Rhinolophus ferrumequinum: one gene and its partner. The protein of the gene in region 1 interacts with the protein of each later gene in a pairwise test. Links are inferred from orthologs where the notes say so. Each region holds a gene or a part of one and is shown on either strand. Other genes may lie near its edges. The genes, in order: FOXR1 and PPCDC.

Evidence for each region.
Region 2: the proteins of FOXR1 (region 1) and PPCDC interact in binary tests that used the Homo sapiens proteins (3 or more experiments, as listed by UniProt). The two-hybrid records come from large-scale screens. The link is inferred for Rhinolophus ferrumequinum from reciprocal best matches to the Homo sapiens genes FOXR1 and PPCDC.

What each region holds. Positions count from the first base shown.
Region 1 is NC_046294.1:88,239,381-88,249,336, reverse strand, and holds the start of FOXR1 (forkhead box protein R1), read right to left. Parts: upstream 4,072-9,956; 5' UTR 3,990-4,071; coding exon 3,929-3,989; intron 1-3,928. Other genes in the region: UPK2 (uroplakin-2), read right to left, coding at 7,128-7,264, 7,687-7,757, 8,021-8,159, 8,324-8,455, 8,941-9,016. UniProt on the Homo sapiens protein: Transcription factor which acts as both an activator and a repressor.
Region 2 is NC_046289.1:99,538,898-99,548,420, forward strand, and holds the start of PPCDC (phosphopantothenoylcysteine decarboxylase), read left to right. Parts: upstream 1-5,570; 5' UTR 5,571-5,670; intron 5,671-9,519; 5' UTR 9,520-9,523. Other genes in the region: SCAMP5 (secretory carrier-associated membrane protein 5), read left to right, coding at 954-1,055, 1,518-1,635, 1,901-2,095. UniProt on the Homo sapiens protein: Catalyzes the decarboxylation of the cysteine moiety of 4-phosphopantothenoylcysteine to form 4'-phosphopantotheine and this reaction forms part of the biosynthesis of coenzyme A.

The DNA of each region.
Region 1 (9,956 bases):
ATAATACCAACTGTTGGCAAAGGTGCAGAAAAATAGAATCCTTTATTACACTGCAGACCTGATAGCAACTGGTGTTGCCATTGTGAAGAATAATCAGGGAGGACTATAATGTATTATACTGTCTACTCCTGGGTATGTATATTCAAGTTAATATAGGAATTTACGTACTAATCTTACTGTCATCTATCAAACTCTCGGTCACTCTCCCTCATTCAGAGGCTCACTGGCTCACTGTTACTAAAACTTCGCCTGCCTTAAGTCTTGGCTATTTCAATAGATAGATGATTCTCTTAATAAACTGGCTTCTTAAACTCTTCTACGAAGATTTTGCCTTGCATTCTACTTTAGACGGTCTCTGTCACTGTCATAACCTGAACGAATAACTGCAACCTCTCCAAAACCTCACTTTTGTACCACATAAAAATATATCACCTCCTATTTTTCCAGCTATCTCACTCTCAACTCCAACTATCCTTTGATACAACTGATATCACTAATCCATTGATCTATGGGTTTGGAGCACTTGTTTGGTAGACTTGGATTTGATCAGGGTTGTGGCTTGGCCCAGCAAGTGCTCCAAAGCCATACAGGGCCAAAGGAATTGAAAGGGTGTATGCAAGAGAGCGAGCATGTTTGACCATGGGATTACAGGTTAAAGAAGAGTGATGGGCAGCAGTAAAAGGGTGACAGGACCAACAGATTGCTGATCTCAGTGGGATCAAAGGATACAATGCCTGTCTGTCTGCCTGTCAGTCTGACTGTCTTCCTCCCTCCCTCTCTCTGGCACAGATATCCTCATGCCTTCTGAAGGACAATGTTCCAACAATCCTCTCTTCTCTTTCCTATTATTAATTTTTTTTGGTCTCTATTGGATCATTATCATCAGCATTTAAATATGCTGTAAATTCTCTCATCATATGAAAAACAATAACTTCTCTGGTCCTCACGTTCTGTGCCAGGCCACTATTCCTCATTTTTGCTTTCTTTTGAGGCAGAACTCCTTAAAAGAACTGCCTATACTTTCTGTCTCTACTTCCCCTCCTTCCACTCTTAAACCCTTGCCAATCAGGCTTTCTCCACTATTCCACCAAAACCACATCATCAAGGCTCTGCTTTGCAAAGTCCAATTGTCAACCAACCTCTTACCAGATCTCTCAGCTGCATTCCTCCCAAATGACCACTCCTTCCTTGAGACACTTTCTTCACTTGGTTTCCACAAGAACACAATGTCAGTTTTGATTCTCAGTGATCATTTCCTTAGTTTTTGGTTATCTCTCTTCTCTCCAATCTCTTGGAAGGCCCCCCAGAGATCATTTTTATTCCTTCTCTCTCTCACTACTTAAATGCACCTCTATACCAAAGACTCTCAAAATTTATATCTGCAGTCCACACCTCTCTCCAGAACTCCAGACTTATATATTCCCTTGTTTACTCAACATTTCTAATTGGATATCTAAAAAGTATTTCAAACTCATTATGCCCAGAACTGAATTCCTGATTTTCTTCCAGAAACCTCTCCTACCAGAAGCTTCCTCCATCTCAGTAGAAGGCAACTCAATCCTTCCACTTAATCAGCCAAAAACTTAGAAGTCATCCTCTAATTTTTCTTATACCACACATCCTATCTATCAGCAAATCTAGCTGGTTCTACCTTCTCACCACATACTGCTGGTGGTCAGTCTAGCACCATCTCTTGTCTGGATTACTATAGAAAACTCCTAACCAGTCTCCTGACTTCTAGGCTCCTAGTTTCTTTATATCTCCAATGCACCCTCAACACAGCAGCCACAGTGATCTTTTCAGAATATAAATCATGCAGGGTTGACTACATAATTTGCCCAGTGCAAAATAAAAATGTGGAGCTCCTTGTTCAAAAATTATTAAAAATCTCAAGATAGTGACAGCAGAGCATTAAACCAAGTATAGCTACCCTATGCAACTGTGCAGGTCACATACTCATGAAGCTGGCGATTGTGCCTCTCCTCTACTCAAGACCTTTCAATCATGCCACGTCTTACTCAAAGTCAAGGCCGATGTCCTTAAAGTAGAAGGTAGCTCTTCCTGATCTCTGCTGCACACCCTGTGAGCACTCCTCTTTATTTACCTTGATCCAGCCTCACTGGTCTCCTTACTGTTCCTCAATGGCTCCAAGCATACTCCTTCCTTAGGGCTTTTGCACTGGCTGTTTCTGCTGCCTGGGGAGCTTTTCTTCCAAATATCCTCTTGGCTCACCATGTCACCTCTTTTAACTCACTACTCAAAATATTATGTTCTCAATGAAGCCCAACCTAATGACCCTGTTTAAAAATGTAGCTGCCACCACTTTCCCTGCTTCCCCCCCTCCATTCCTGAACCCTCATACTGTGTCCTTCTTTCCCCACGTCAGTTATCACCTTATAACATACTAGTATGTAACATTTTTGTGTGGATTGCCTGTCTGTCCCCAGGAGAATGTAAGCTTCATGAAGACTTGTCTCCTTTTGTTTTGTTCATTATGTATCACAAGTGTCTAGAACAGTGCCTGGCAAATTGGAGGTGCTCAATAAATATTTCGCAAACCAGTGAAGAAACAGGAATGTTCCTCAGCATTACTTCGGTGTCAGAGTTGGAGGCAATCTAGGTCTCCATTAGTACAGAGAATTAAATGCAAAAGGCTGAGCATATGCATGCGAGATGGATGGACCTAGAGGGTATTTTGCTGACTGAAATCAGACAGAGAGACAGATACTATAAGGATCTCACTTATGTGTGGAATCTAAAAAACAAACTAAATAAACAAAGTCATAGATACAGAGAACAAACTGATGGTTAACAAATGGGAAGGGGGTTGGGGGTAGTGGCGGTGAAAAAGATGAAAGGATTAAGCACAAACTGGTAGTTACAAAATAGTCACGGGGATATAAAAAGCACAGCGTTAGGAATAGAGTCAATAATATTGTAATAACTATGTATATTGCCAAGTGAATACTAGACTTATTGGGGGATCACTTCCTAAATTATGTAATTGTCTAACCACTATGTGGAACACTTGAAGTAATATAATATTGAATAGCAACTATAATTGAAAAATAAAAAAATAAAAAAGGTAGCATATGCAGATGATAGACTTCTACACAACAGTCAAAAATGATGAACCAGATCTATATTTAGCAACCTAAATCCCTCTCAAAAACAATGAGTAGGGGTTAAAAAGCAATGAGCATTATGTAAATTAGTCACAAAATAATACTAAACAGTTTTCAAAGATACAGCTCTCTAAAGAGGATAAATAGGGTAGAGTAAATACATGGGAGTGTGGGAGGTGATAGAAGTGGGTGGAAAGGGGGAAAATGAATTAATCTAAGTACTTTGTCGAACAGATGACATAACCTACCAAGCATGTAGGAGGTGATTACATCAACTCTCCGCACTTGAACTGAAATTTTTTTTTTAAATGACCCCGACAGCCAGCTACCCATTCAGCAAATAGTGAACACCTCTGGGTGTCAGACGTATCAAGAGGCGGGGATACAGCTGCGAACACAACTGATAAATTGCAGTTTTTTTAAAAACAGAAAAATGAGTAAAATATGTAGTGCGCCAAATGGCGACAGGCGCCATGGAGAAAAGGCCGCGAAGAGGCCTAGAAGGTTCTGGGAAGGAGCTGGGCGGGTCGGGTATAGTTGAAAACGTCGTGTCCAGCAGGACCGCTGCCCTCCGTGGGCTTGCAGTCGGGGCGGCCCGATCGCTGCTGGGCAAGTGGCGTGGGGGAGGGGGCCGCGGCACTCAGCAGGGAGCACGCGGGCCCGACACTGTGCCCTCGCCGGGGCTCGCCCCAGGCGGGGTGCGAGGTCGAAAGCTGGGGAGCCCACTCGCCCCGGTCCCACGAGACCCCCACCCGGGCCACCCAGCACGCCCATCCCCCACCGCCCCCCTCTTGGGCACTCACGGTTCTGCTGAGTTAAGGGCAGGTGCGTTGTCGTGAAGGCCAGAAAACACTCGTTCCCCATGTCCCAGTCCAGCAACCCTGGGACCTGGCCATGGAGGCTGGCCCAGAAGTCAAGGTGTTGGAGTTTCAGGTCCACCTTCAGGGAGAGGAGAGAGAGCCGGGCAGGGGGTGGGAGAGTCGGACAGACTGAGGCCGAGGTCTCTGAGCTACTTGCTCAAATACCCAGGCTCTGATTGAGTTAGTTTTGCCGGCTCTGATGGAGTTAGCGTTGACGCCTTTAATCCCCTCTGGCCTCAACTGAGTACTTTCTGCCACGTCTTTCCTCAAACCTCTATGCTTTCGAATTGGGCCTGGGGACACTTGGGGACTCAGAAGAGAGCTATTCCAGGTCCTGTTCCCCTACTACATTTGCACAAAGCTCTTATTTTATTTAATGAATTCGTCTACCGGTTCAGAATGATCCCGTGATAGTATTAACTTTCTAGAAGTTCTGATTGATTTTATGGCTTACCCAAGATCGCATCTGTAGTACATTGTGGAGATAGGATTAAATGGTGGTTTCTTAAATTTTATTTTTAATAATTTGAAATTTACAGAAAAATCCTAAGAATACTATTAAAAAATTCCCATTTACCTAAATCTTGTAATTTACCAATTACACCAATTATTAACATTTTATTACGTTTTAATTTTCTTTCCATATACACATAAGACATATGTATACTATTATTTTTTCTGAACTGTTTAAGAGTAATTTGCAGACATCATGCCTCTTTACCCATAGATACTGCACCGTGTATTTCCTAAAAACAAGGAGATTGGCGTACATAACCAGGAAATCAGAAATAAACTGATCAAAATCAGATTATTTAACATTAATTCAACATTATATTTAATGTACAGATCCTATTCAAATTTTACCAATTGTCCCAATAATATTCTTTATATGAATTTGTTTTCTGGTCTAGGATCCAACTCAGGATTATGCAGTACATTTAATTTTCATGTTTCTTTAGTCTCCTTTAATCTGGAGCACTTTCTCAGCCTTTTTAATCTTTTGTAATACTGATATTTTTAACGATTACAGGCCATTTATTCTGTTTGATGTTTCCTCATAATTAGACTTAGGCATTTTTGACAGGAATACCACAGAGGTGATGTTGCCTTCTTAGCACATCATATCAGGAGGCACATTATGTTAGTTTGTCCCATTATTAGTGGTGCTAATTTCAATCACTTGGTTCAATGGCCTCCACCAGGTTTTTCTACTGTAAAATGATTTCCCTCACCCTTTGTAATTGGAAAGTAATTTGTGGGGAGATACTTTGATCTAAAATCCTGTTCCTCACCAAATTTGGGCCCACTAATTCTGGCATCCATTTATGATTCTTACTTTGATGGGTGTAAATTGATCTTTTTTCTAACTCCGTCGTTCCTTTTCCATTTATTTAGCTGGCATTCTATTGTAAGGAAGAGCTTTTCCCTATCCCATATCTATATGTTTATTAGTATGGATTCAAAGGATTCTTATTTTATTGAGTGGATTATAAGTCATTACTATCATTATTTATTTTAAACCTTTGTCCCAGATTTGGCTAGTGGGTGAGCTAGCTCCCTCTGGTTCTTTTGCTCATCCTGGGTTCCCCAGTAGAGCCCATGCTGTGTTGTCTGTTGCTTGTCTACCAGAGCAGAAACTGTGAGAGTACAAGGCACAGAGGAGACCCTCAATAAATGTTTTAACTACAGTGAAAATAACAGCTTCCTTTTTAAAGTTTGTTAGGATTCTACCTTTAATACTACTAATAATAATTTTAATGATAATACTATTTCTCTAACTATAAAAATACCTATGTTTGATGCAGAAAACTTGGAAGTATAGAATGCACAAAGGGAAAAACAATAAAACAAAAATTATCCTTTGTGTTAATCAGAGATAATTGATTAAAAATTTTTTTTTGAAGGGGAACAGGACTTTATTGGGGAACAGTGTGTATTTCCAGGTCCTTTTTTCCAAGTCAAGTTGTTGTCCTTTCAACCTTAGTTGTGGAGGTTGAACCTTAGTTGTGGAGCAGCTCAGCTCCAGATCCAGTTGCCCTAGTTGCAGGGGGCACAGCCCACCGTCCCTTACGGGAGTCGAACCGGCAATCTTGTGGTTGAGAGGACGCGCTCCAACCAACTGAGCCATCTGGCCACCCAGGAGCGCAGCTCGCTGGCCCATGTGGGAATCCAACCGGCAGGCAGCCCCGTTGCCCAGAGCTCGCTCTCTAACCAACTGAGCCACCCATCTGCCCCATAGTCTTTATTTTAAGAGCAATGCAAAGATTACTAATCCTTATAAGGAATGCATATTGGAGAGGACAAAAGGAATAAGGGTGACGACTCCTGCTCTTTTCCCTCGGTTACCAAACTGTACCACTCTTGTCTCTATTCCCAGGGTTCTTCCACTTCTGCTCTCTGCTCTTAAAGCCCCTTTAGCCTAGTCTCCATTCCCCACAGGCCTCAATAACCTGTCTTTTGGTCTCACCCTGGTGGCCCTCTGTCTTTCCCATCAGAGACTCATCTTTTCGCCAGCATTTCTTCTTGTTCTGCCAGCAGCCCCCCACCCAAAGGCCCTCAGGCCTCTAGCTCCCTCCCCCACGATGGTGCTCCGTCTCCTAGTTGGGTGACCTGCTATGGAGGGTGCAAAATTCACAGCCTAGATGTGGGTCTGAGAACTCTGACTCCTGAGTTCTTATCTCATCTGGCCCCTTCCTGCCTCCTGGGGCCATGGGAGCACCTGCAGCCTAGACATGGATTCTATAGGTTTGTGCCAAAGTGGAGCCCACAGAAAGGAAACACACACCACAGAGGTGACATCCAACTTTATTGTATGGGTTTAGTTCACTGAGGAGGGGTGAATTGTTGGGCGTAATTAAAGAGGTGAGATGGAAGGAAAACTAATTCTGACAGGGGTGGGGTGAAAGGAATAATAGGAAGAGTTGGGCGAAGGTGAGTAATTAGGGGACAAGGGGCAGGGGGAGTAAAAGGAATAGAGGTAAAGGCACTGAAGTGCAGGCACAGCCAAAGACTGGTGATTGAGGACTGGGAGCAGGCAGTCTGTTCAGGAGACGAGGCAGGAGCAAGCGGCAAAGCTCTGGGCTGGAGAGATGGACAGCGCCCTGGACCTCCTGGAGGAGCCCACTGCCCCGTGCAGGCCTCCTCACTTCCTGGTACCCAGTGCCAGGGTGATGATGAAGCCCAGGACCAGCAGGAACATGGCGACAGAGAGCAGCACTGTGATGACCACCATGCCCCCTGTCCGGGCCATTCCCAGCCCAATGTATTCCATGTTCCTTCCTGTCAGAAGAGAGAGCGGAGTGGGCTTTGTGGGCAGGAGGAGCCCCTATCCTACATGAGGCACTCAACCTAGCCCCTCATCCAGCTATCTAGCTCGTATCCCTTCATCTATTTATTCATCCACCATCCAACTGATCAAGTGATTCAGACATCCATCAAATACACATTTATGAAGCATCTCCTACGTCACTCACTGAAGATACATAAATTGATCAGACACAATCCCTACCCACAAAGAATCTTTAGTTTAGCAGTGCAGGAAGATGAGTCAACAGGCAGTTAAAATGCCAAGGGCTCAATGTTACGATAGAGGAAAGCCAAGGAGCTAAGGGAGCATACTGAGGGGCAACTGGGGTGCGGCGGGAAGGGGACAGGGAAGATTTGGGGGCCTTGATATGTGAGAGGGAGCACGTGTTACTTACGAGGAAGTGTGGACATTGGGATCTCTCTGCTGGACTCAGTGGATGTCCCCTTCATCACTAGGTAAGAAATGCTTTTGTAATGGGGTTTGGAAGAGAGAGAGGAGAGAATCCTCAGTGAGTATCTGGGACTTGGGGAAAGAGGGAGACCAGGCCTCCCTCTTCACAGTTGTGCTTCCCATTGTGCCCTCCTTTAGGAGAGGCCCATTCTTGACCCTTTTAGCTGTGCCCTCACCCTCTCCCCCATGCTGACCACATCCCCCCCCACCACCACCACCAAATGTCAGGACCCAACTTCTCCTCCTGCAGTTGTTCCAGGCCTGGATCTGGTACCTACTAGTATTTGGTTCCTGGCACGAGGTTTGTCACCAGGTAAGCACTGAGCCGGGTGACAGTGAAACCAGCCCCAGTGTCCACCACATTCACCAGTTCCCTTCGCCCACGGCATGGAGGCACCATGAAGCTAGATTTCACCACTGGGCAGGAAATTGGGGATGAAAAGCAGGGTCAAGTTTCTGGAGGCCCCAAGGAGAAGGGGTAGCATTTAGAGTGTGGGTGCAGGAAGGCACGCGTGGGAGAAGGGACGTTGGGGATGAATTGGGAAAGGGCTAGGGGGATGCCCTGGGACAGGGTAGCAGACCTTTGCTGTCATTGGCTCTCCGCACCATCAGTGTGGCATTGCCCCCTGTGAGGTGACAGGGGGGCAAAGCAACTAGCAGGCTCTCCGTTAGCGCCGGGGACAGCAGACCAGAGAGGCTTGAGATGTTGAAGTCTGCTGGAGGGCCAGGAGGAAGTTACGTGCGTGTGTGGGGGAGAAATTCAATTCCTCTCCCCCACCTTCAGATCTGGCCCAGCTTCCACAGGCTTTTTTTAAGGATGCAGAATCCTCCCTCCACCTTCCACTCTGTAGTCTGTTGACAGAACACAGGCCTTTGTGCATCTGACCACCAGGTGGCAGGCTTGGGCTGCAGAAGCGTAATACTCTACCAAGTCTCCAAACTCTGGGTGCCAGGAGTGGGTTGTGCCCAACCTCATCCCTTCCCGCAGCCTTGGGCCCCTCCCTTCACCTCTCTGCCTTCTGGGTCTGGAAGAGAACCAGGAGTGTGCCCTTAGCTCAGTGACTGATGCCTGGTCACTGCCATCACCAGGCCCCCACCTCCAACTGTCCAGAAGAGCTCCTCTTTCACAGCCCTGGAATGCACAGTGCCTATCCAGGCCCCAGCCCCTCCCCACAACCCCGCCAGAAGTGGCAGAGACCTGCAGCTCCTGGGGCCAGAACAGCCAGCAGAATCAGGACAAAGGACGAGGTTCTGATGGGTAGTGGGGATGCCATAGCTGGGTTGGAAGCTGGAACAAGCGCTGGCAGGCTGTGGCTTCCTGAGGCAAATGAGGCCCTGCCTCTGGGGTGACTGGTTTTGTCCTGGGGGAGGGAGGGGCTAGAGGGGAATCTTGTCCGACCAGCCCCTCGGCCCTACAGCCTGCGGGGGGGGCTGGGGGGCAGACAGGTTTTTCAGGATGGGGAGCTAGCCCTCAGGCCAGGAGTAGGGATCTTGACTGGATCTTGGTGGCTTAGTCAGCTGCGGAGGGGCAGGGCAACTAAGGTGGGGGGGTGGAAATCACCCCTTCTTCTGGGACTTCTGGGACTCCCACCAGTGCTCTCCTGCCTGCACAAGCATGTGGAGCCAAGCCTGTAGAAAATAACTTCCCCCAGGTGGTGGGAGGTTTCCCCAGGAGGGCAGGAAGTTGTGAGTTGCCCTGGTGTGCAGGAAGAGGAAAGTAACCCCAGGGGCTCCTGAAAGGGCCTTGGCTGGGCCAGAATGGGAGGGAAATGGAAACTGGTAGTAGGGGCAGCAGAGCCAGCGGTTCTAATTCTTGGTGTCCACTGAGGCCCAGGTATTGCTACTGTGAGAGAGGAGAGTGGGGTCAAGAGTGCCAAGTAAGACTTCTGGAGAGACCAGAGAGGTTGGCACTGACCCAGTCCAAGGGTGTGGGTGGGCACAGTCAGCCTTGAGTCAGCAACCTTTGTTGAACTGTTTGAGAATAAAGAAAAGAAAGAGACCTGGTAAGAAAAATCGAAAAAGAGACACAACTTCTCTGACTGCATCCCCTGCCCATGTGCTCAAGTAGACAGAGGTGAAGAAGGAATTGTGAACAGAGGGAGAGGAGAGATTAGGAGGAAACACTGGGTCTTGCACGCTCTAACATACTTACCCTCGCAGACATCCTGGGCAGTAGATGTTATTCGCTCCCTTCTGTAGATGTGGAAACTGAGA
Region 2 (9,523 bases), on another chromosome or scaffold:
GACGTCCAGGTAGGATGTGGGCTCCCTGGGAGTGCTACGCTGGGCTGAGAGGGCTGGGAGTAAGAGCCTTTCCTTTCAGTGCCTTCCTTCCTCACTCTACCCCCTTGGGTGGGGCAACAGGTCTGTTTTGGTTCTGTCTTCCCCAGGCAGCTGCACGTAAAATTTTGCCAGTGGGGCCCCGTGTCTTCGTGGAGCTGTCCTTGTACCCATGGGACTAGTTGATTTGTTGCCAAGTGGACCGTCTATCCATATGGAACCAGCTACCCATATACCACTGATACTATTTATGTGCTGATGAGGTCGGCCAATTCTGTGCCAAAGGGACTCCCATCCATGTGTCTTGGTGCCAATGGGTGTCTATTTTGTATCAAATGGAATTTTCAGTCTTTTGCCAGTCGGACTAGCATCCGTGTACCAACAAGGATATCTGTCTCAATGCCAGTGGAGTATCCAGAGTGCCTCAGATGTCTTTGCCAATCGGACCATCCACCTATGTGCCAATTAGGCTACTTTCTTGGTGCCAATAGCGTGTGCATTCTAGTGCCAATGGGACTTTCTATCTCTAAGCTTATGGGACCATCCACCATGTACCAGTGGACCTAGCTGTCTTGGTGCCGGTGGAATTGTTCACCCCCTTGACAGCGGGCTGTTTATTCCTGCCACAATGGGCCCGTCTGTTTGTGGGCCAGTGGGGCCCAAACACCCACGTGTCGGTGGGTAATCCACTCATGAGCAGATGTCTCCCTATGTAATGTTGCACATACACGCCTAACACCTGGTATCCTGCCAAGATCTATGGGTCAGTGCTGTCCCATTTTGGCCTCTCAGTTAAGGCCTTTGAATGCCTTCTGTCCTTTGTGTACTCACTTCACCTTGGAAGGGCGTGGGGGCCTCGAAGGCAGGGAATCACTGGCTCTTTGCCCTGGTAACAGGAGCCATCTCCTCTGTTGCAGGACTGACAGCTCCTTCAGCTTCATGGCATTCTTCTTCACCTTCATGGCCCAGCTGGTCATCAGCATTATCCAGGCCGTGGGTATCCCAGGCTGGGGCATCTGGTAAGAGACTGAGGTATCTGGGACTGACCCAGGGCTGGCATGGGTGGCATCTTGGGTGTGTCCTTTGCTTACCTCTGTGTGCTAAGCTGCCTAGCCTGTGGGGAAACCGTGAATTATTGGAAGTGTGAGAGGATTCAGACTAGTGTAGTAGACACAGCCATAGCATCAGAGGGGAAGGAGAACCTTGCAGTGGTTTTTGAGGGCTGAGGGGTGTCAGGCATTGTGGGACAACCCAAGGGAAGGAAACCTTATGTCTGAGGAGCTTGTCTCCTGAGCCATGGGGAGGGTTCTTCCTGAATCCCTGACACAGGCTCTTTGGGATTAGTAAGGTGGTCCCTTTGCATCTAGTGATATGGTCCCTCCCTGTGACAATGAGATGGTCCCTTGCTCTAGTGTCTAGTGGGTGGCTCCTAGGTAGCCCTCACCATGCTGGGCAGCCTCACAGTTGGCCTCTTCCTGCAGCGGCTGGATTGCCACCATCTCCTTCTTCGGGACGAACGTTGGCTCAGCAGTGGTAATGCTCATTCCTACCATCATGTTCACGGTCATGGCTGTCTTTTCCTTCATCGCCCTCAGCATGGTACGTGGTCACCTCAATGGTGAGAAGTTGGCTTTGGGAAGGGACTGTGGTCTGTGGCAAGCCCTCTTCCAAATGACAGGAGGACCCAGGAGTCTTCCCAGGGGCTCACTGTGGAATGGCTTGGTGGACTTTGTTCCTGATGCACTGAGCATGGGTGGGACGCAGGACTGGCTGTTACAGCGAGTTGTCTGTGGCTCCCATGTCTTTCCTGGATGGCCTGCCTCTTCCTTTTGATTAACCCTTTCTTGTGCTCCTCCTCCCACAGGTTCATAAATTCTACCGGGGCAGTGGGGGGAGTTTCAGCAAAGCTCAGGAGGAGTGGACCACGGGGGCGTGGAGGAACCCGCATGTGCAGCAAGCAGCCCAGAATGCAGCCATGGGGGCGGCCCAGGGGGCTGTGAATCAGCCGCAGACTCAGTATTCCGCCACCCCCAGCTATGCATACTCCAACGAGATGTGAGCCAGCCGAGCCTGCTGTGAGGCGGGGCTGCGGGCTGGTGGGACGGGGGCTCAAGCCACATCATCTGTTGTGGTGACCAAGCAGGGTTCCCCCTTCCCTTTTCTCTTCCTCCACTTTGTATAAAGAATCAGAGTTATATATATATATATATATATATATATATATATATATATGTATGTATGTATATGTCTACCCCCCACCCTCTTGGATTTTGCTCTGAGCATTTGGAAAGCTGCGGGCTACATGTGGAGCTGTCCCTTGCGGCGGTAGCTGTGTCCATGTCCCCTTGTGAAATAGTGTGACGTGGAGGTCTCTGTTGTCGTGGTGCTAGATGTCTGTTTAGAACTAAACCAGCCCCCACCCTCCCCCAGGCCACGCCCTCTGACTTTGCCCAAGGACCCTTCATGGGGCAGGAGGAGGCATAGCAGAGAGAGCCTGGCCCTCTCCCCAGGGTTATGAGCTGAAGCTGTTTCCGCTTTTGGTCTTACTGGGAAGCAACAGTATTTAGCACTTATGGGGGTGGTGGGTGGGAGGGTGAGAACAGGCAGGGGCCTTCTCTTCCTCCTTCTGATCTGGGATCCTCCCCCTCAACCTCTTCTTCCTCTCGTCCCTTCTTGCTGTCACATTCCCTGTGGTCTCTTCTCTTGCCCAAGGTCTCTCTCTTCCCCATATGGCTTTCTGTCTTCCCCAAGGCTGAATGAATTTGTATCTGCTCCTGAGACTGAGCCCTTTCCCAGATCAAGGAAGCAGACGGGAGCTGAGCTTTAGCCCTGATGTGGGAGGGCACACAGGTGCAGACCCCCCCACGGCACCTGACTCCTAAGGAATGGCAATGCAGGGTCATCTCCTGGACTCCCAGAGCTTGGCCTGTAGGGGCAGGCTCCTCTTTTCCCTGCTTCCCCTCCTTCTCTTCCTAGCACCCCCCTCAAGCCCCTCTGCCTGTGTCCCTCCCCAAACCCCCAGCTGCTATGGCCTGATTCTCTTGTCCTACCTCCATCACATGCCAGAGGCATCTTCCATCTACCAAGGCGGATTCCACTGCCTTCCCTGAAGAGCTGGGTGGTATCCAGGCAATTTCCATGCAAAGGCGCAGCTGGAGCAGAGGACGTGTAAATAATTATTGGTACCTGTGTGAGGTCTGGCTGGTTCAAGCCCCCTGGGAGGTATTGGGTGTCCCGGAGTGACCGACCATCGGATTCCTGGCAGCAGTAGCTGTTCTGTGTGGGTCTGGTAGAAGGGACAGGCTCAGAGTGCTGGGCCTGGAGGGAAGATCAGAGGAGAAGGCAGGCAGAACTCAGTGAGAGGGGAGCATGCCTCCCCCATGCCAGCTAGCTCTTCGTCACAGGGCAGTTCTGGGCACTTGAACTCAGGGCCCAAGAAGAGGCAGAGGCCCAATCCTATCTGCAGGCACAATGGCTGGAGTGGGCTTTCAGGTTAGGTGCGGTGGGAAGGAAGGCTCTCTGGCTTTTGTTTTTTAAAAAAATCAAAATAACTTGTTCCCTTTTGCTTATTGGCTTTAGTTCTCGGCCTTCTTCAGCCTGACCGAATCCCTTTCCCTTCCAGGACAGTGACTTCAGGCCAGTAGGTCTGTTCTGTTCCAAGCCTTGTGAGAATGTTGCTGGTAAAGCCCCAGCTCTTTGAGGTTGGGAGGGGAGTGTCGCACTCAAGGAACAGCTGCCCACTTCCTACCCTCCCTTCTCCTATCTGGGTGTTTGGCCTGAAAAACCAAACCCTGCTTGGCCATTGTGGGCTGGCTCCAGCTTGGAACCCAGCTTGGTCAAGCTCCAAATACTGTATTTTCCTATAAGGGGAGCCGGGGCCTCTGGGAAGTTCTCTTCCTAATGGTCCCGTTGGCTTGAGTCAGACTGATTGGCTCTCTCCTCTACCACTTTCTCTCTGGAAAGCATTTGTCATCGCCCCTAGTGCCTGAAAAGAGACCCTTGGTCTAGCCTCTTGCTCCCTTGTCCTCTCTCCCCTCCCTTCCTCCACTTCCCGTCCCCACTCCCCCCCCCCCCCCCCCCCCCCCCGCCAGACCTCTGACTCCTTTTCTCTTAGTCTCTGGTAGTTCCAGGCCTGTGGTCCAGCTGCTAGCCCAGGATCCATGACCTGTTGGTTGCCACCTCCAGTCGATTTCCTGCCCTACCTGCCTTTCTTCTTTCCTGGCTCAGACCTATATGGCTATGCCCTGACGCTGCCCTTGGGGAGGCCTGCTACTTGTGTGTGGCCCAGCTTGTCCAGGCCCTGAGATGCTGTCTCCAGGCAACCATACACTTTCCTGGGGAGGAAACCAATATGAGAAGTGGGGGCTGGGCACAGATTCATGTTTGCTGGATGGTCTTGGGTGGAGGGAAACCCAGGTCAGTTCTGGGAATCCTCAGGTCTGCAGCCAGCCAGTGAGCTGCGTTTGTACTCTGCTGGTGCCCACTGCTCCTCCACTGCTCCTCCTTGTTTCTAGGAGACAGACTATTCTCCATCTGGCAGTTGACCTGCCTGAGCCAGTGTGTCTGTCTATGGTAACTGAGTGAACCATAATAAAGGGGAACATTTGGCCATATGTATTCTGCAGTGTCATGTGTTTTCATACGGGTCTGTGTGGATGGAGCCTCACTGTGGGCTGTGGGACATGGAGGTAGGGTGGGTCTGTAGAACCACACAGGGGCCAGAAGTCGCCTCTGTGTGGTTCTTTCTCTAAGGCAGCCTTAGTAGGCCTTGAAATTGCCACAGCAGCCTTCTACCGGTTAGAAGGAGAGGTTCTGAGTTCTACGAGGAGGAAGCAGAAGGCTGAATTAGAGAGTGAGGGATGCTTTGGTCCAGATGGTCCCTGCAGACAAGGGCAGGGGCAGAGCAGAGGGCCCCACTCAGCTCTCTCAATGGAGACTGGCTGCTGACCGAGCAGCCTGAAATAACAGGGGGTTCCGGAGCCCACGGTGCTGGACGATGAAGAAGGTAGTGAAGTGTACCCAACCTGCTTCCCCCGGATGCATTCCTGTTGCCAATGCCCTGCCCTCCACTTGGACTGCTATTCTGGCACTCTATCTAAGCTCCTGCTCAGCCTTCGAGATTCACCCTGAGTGACTCCTTCTCTGAGAGGCCTTCCCTGCCTCTAGGTATTTAGGCCCCTCCACTTCCTCATGGAGGACCTTATTCTGTAATTTTCTGTGACCCTGCTTGTCCCTAGAGCAGAAACGCATCTGATTCTTCTCTGTAAACTGCACTTAAAACATAGAAGAGTCTCGCTAAATATTCAGTATTAAGTACCCCAACAATGAGCAGTGTGTATGTGTAGGATGGGGGTGTGGGGTGAGGAGGCGAAGCCCAGGTGAAAGCATCTGAAAAACCAAGAATAGGAGCCAGGGTTAGTGGCAGGATTCCCTCCAACGGACTACAACTACCGGAAGGCCTCCAACGGACTACAACTACCAGAAGGCAGAGAAATGGACTACAACTCCCAGAAGGCTGCGCGATCACGTAGTCTGCCAGATATTCTCGTGAGATTGCGTGCCAATCAGAATCAGCGCGAAAGGCAGGGGCCATCCGGGATATTTGGGGGCTGTGCCCAGACACGCCTGACTCGGGTGAGGAGTCAAAGGGGGCTCAGAGGCAGTCCTCGCGGCGGGCGGGTGGGAGGCCGGAGAAGCTTCGCTTGCGACTGTGGGCCTGCTGCTGTGCGTGTGTGTCCTCACTTTCGTGTGTGTGTGTGTGTGTGTGTGTGTGTGTGTGTGTGTGTCTGTGTGTGTGTGTGTGTAGGGGCTGTGGAGCTTGTGGGGCCTTCACTTTCCTGTCTGTGACCGTGGGGCTGGAACATTTAGGGACCCCTTCCCGGCTCGAGCCTGAGGTGGATTTGTATCTTGCATCCCTATCCGCGCTCTGTGCTGCTCGGCGATTGTCCATTGCTGTTTAATCTAGTTCAAAAGATGGCCCTGTCAGTTCCCCATACTTACCACTTGCCTTAAAAAATAAAAAAATCATGAGCCTGCTTCCAAAAAGGAAGAGGGACTGCCCAAAGTACAAACTATCTCTTAAAAGCTGGTGATATAGAAAAAGAAGAGCCCTGGGATGTTGCAATTATCCACTTAGATCAGCCTAAAAATGCTTACTGGCATTTAAAAATTAGAGTGCGGCCAAATTTTGTCAGAGAAAAACTTCATGCTGTTTTTTGAAATATTGGAGGCCGGCGCCAGATAAGGCGCAGGAGAGAGTCCCAAGTTGGGGAAATGGTGGTGTCTTTGGAGCTGGGTTGTCCACATCTTTGCCCGTGGCTGAGAGGTGGCAGTGCGCAGTCACTCGCTGGCTAGTAGCCGGCGTGTGTGAATGTGTCTCTCTGTCTGTATCTCTCCGCAACATGCGGCCTTGAGGAAGGGGACAGGTGACGCAGAGTCAAGTATGCTTGCCTCTGGTTTTAGAGAAGAGCGTCTTAGAATGCCAAGGCCTTGAGCTAGCCCCAAAGAGTTCCTTTCCTTTCCTTAGGGGAAGGGCTTTAAAGTACCCCTGTGGCCATGGGACTCCCGTTAATGACTTTGGGTTTGGGAGCAGGGTGACACTTTGGGGAGTGCAAGTGGGTCATTATTCCTGGGGCAGAGAGTTGAGTGTGTTGACTGGTGAGAGAGGAGCCGGAGTAGAAGCCTGGGCCCAGTAGGGAGGGGCTTGGACGTTAGGCTAAAGGAATGGAGCTCAGTGTACACGGGATCCCTGCCCACCCCCCCCCCCCACCCCGGAGCCTGGTTCTGCTTTTGTCCTACACCTCCGCGCCTCATCTTTCCTGTGTTGGGCTGCCTCACACCCCGTCTGGTCCTTTCTTAGCTCTGGTTCTGCCCTGGCCCCACATCCGCCCTCATTGTGACTGGCAGGAATCCCTGAAACCTTTACGTGATTCTGCCATAATTAAACGCATCAGACATTTACACACCACGAGGCTTTATACAAGCTGAGGCTCTTCACTCTGTCTGGCCTTGTCTTCCTAAAGGACGGAGAAGCTGCCATTTTTCCGTCTGTGGCTTACCTGGATGGCTGGCACCCTGGGAGTCTGAGGCTCAGTAATCACAGGCTTGAGCCCTGCGACCTCTCTGCCTGCCAACTCTTCCTGCTGCTCAGGAGTGCCTTATGTGTCCAGCAGAGGCCAGGGAAGCGAGGTGCTGTCCACAACTGCCTTGGCTGTGCAGGTAGATCGTTCTGACAGGGACTGGATAGAGTGCTTACTATTCAGGGATTTGATCTTTTTAAAGCATGAACATAAAGAACCGCCAGCTGTCACCTTCCATGGGATTGTCAGATTGAATCCATTTGACCTTGCTTTGAAATGTCAGTTAAGTTACCCACTCACTATTCCTCAAACAATCCCCACGCCTCCTATAAAGGCAGGTAGGCCTTGGTCCTTAGCAAAGATTGCCCAGTAGGCTAAGGAGTCAGTCTGGGGCTATGCCACCTACTGTGGGGCTTGGCTGAAGTCACCAGCGTGGATTTCTGCCCCAAGTTTTGCTGATTGCTTTCAGTGACCTGCTCCTGAGGATTGAGGTCAGCTTAATGTGGAAGAGTTTCAGGGGCTGGAAATGAAATTCAGCTTCTGGTTTTGCAGGAATCCCTTTGTCCTAGCACCAGTTGGCTGGGGTGGGACAAAGTCAAGGCTTGAGACCTGGCAGGTACATTTTCCTGGAGAGTCAGGAATGTGTTCCCATTACCTGTGAGTGCTAATCAGCCTGCTGGTTAGTTCTTGGAAGACACTGGACAATAAGCCCTCCAGAGGGCTCCCCAGGTCCCCGAGTAGACACAGTTCTGTTCTGGGCAAGCAGGGCCCTGGTACAGAGGTCCCTGGCAAATGGAACTTTGGGGGAGTCTTGCTGAAGGGAGCTGGCCAGTGCTTCACCCCTTCTGAGAAGGGTCTGGGCCTCTAGGAGACCCTTCTAGGTAGGAGTGGGATCATGGACCCAAACACAGTCCTCAGCTCCTGTGGGTCTTGAAGGCAAATACTGGGCAAAGAGGCCCTTGGGATCCCAGGGGCCTGTGGAGTGAAGAGGAGGCCCCCCTGTGGGTGTGCAGCCGTGGAGGCAGCCACAGGGTGACTCGGGCACGTCCCCCTGAGGGTCTGCCGTGGCGTCTCCTGTCCTGCTGGTTGTGCACATCTTCTGGGACCCTCCAGTGTGGAGAGCATTTAGCACTGCCGTCTCTGCATTGACACAGAAGGCTCTGCTGGTAGGAGCTTTAAAGATCACCTGGTTCTACCTCTGTATTTTTCAAATGAAGAGATAGGTCCGGGGACGGAAGTACCCTGGGCCAAGGTCGCACCCCAGGTCAGGAGCACATCCATGAGCAGGGCCCAGGGCTCCTGATTCCCAGGCTGGCTTCTGTCTTCTGCCCCACCCCGCTGCAGAGGGTACAATTTATTATTCACTCAGCAGATGTTCAGGACCCACCAGGTGCCTGGCGGTTGGCGAGTAGACCTGGTCACACATTCAGGGAGCTTGCTGGTGGTGGTGGCTGTGGTGGGGCAGTGGAGAGGGAGAGGCGAGGAAACATGAACGAATGGAATCAGTGATCAGAATGAGTCGGTTTTGCTGGCCCTGCCTGCAGAGTGTCCGTCAGCCAGATGATCACGGGCACTCACTTCCAGCAACAGCTGCCAGAGGAATAAACCAGCAGCGGGTCCCCCAGGGTGGCCAGCTTCCCCTTTATGCTTGTCTCTTCCTGGGCGTGGATTTGTGGAGTGGTGTCCAGTCTGATCTACAGGGACGGGGCAGAGGCAAACCTCTCCACTCCCTAAAGCACCCAGACGCCCTTGTTGCCTAGGGCTCCATCTCACAGGTATCCCTGGAACCCACCCCATCCTGCCACTCCCTTCCGTCGTCAGCCTGGCCCACTAGAGCAGCTTCTTACCCTGTCCCCTCCAATGTCACCACCATCAGGGCCCCCTCCACATGGTCACCAAAAACCATCTTGCCAAAATGAAAGTTCCCCGTGGCCCTCACCACCCTTGACGCTGCCCTTGACCTGACTTTGCAGCCTGACCCCCCGCCCCCCATCACACTTCAGCCGCACTACCAAGCTACTCTGTTTCCCAACCTGCTACCCTCCTTTAGCTTGTTCATCTTTGCAAGATTGCTCCTTCTTGCAAAGTTATTTCCTTCTTTCTCTGGAAAACTTACTCGTCTCTCAGGACTCAACCTGAATGTCATTTTTTTGGTCTCTGACGTCCTCAGACAGTCACTCCCGGGCGGCCACAGCCTCCGGTATGGGCCTTCCTCACAGCACTGGTCACGCTGCATTGTAACTGGGCTGTGTGTGCTGAGGCTGTCTGACCTTATCAAACTGTGCTCCCAGACCTGGGACTGCGGATCCGTCAGGAGCCCCAGCTAAGACCCAGGGTCTAACACTGGCTGCTCAATATATTTTGGTTGTGTGAATGAAGTGGGGGCCCCTTGTTCTGCTTTTAGACCC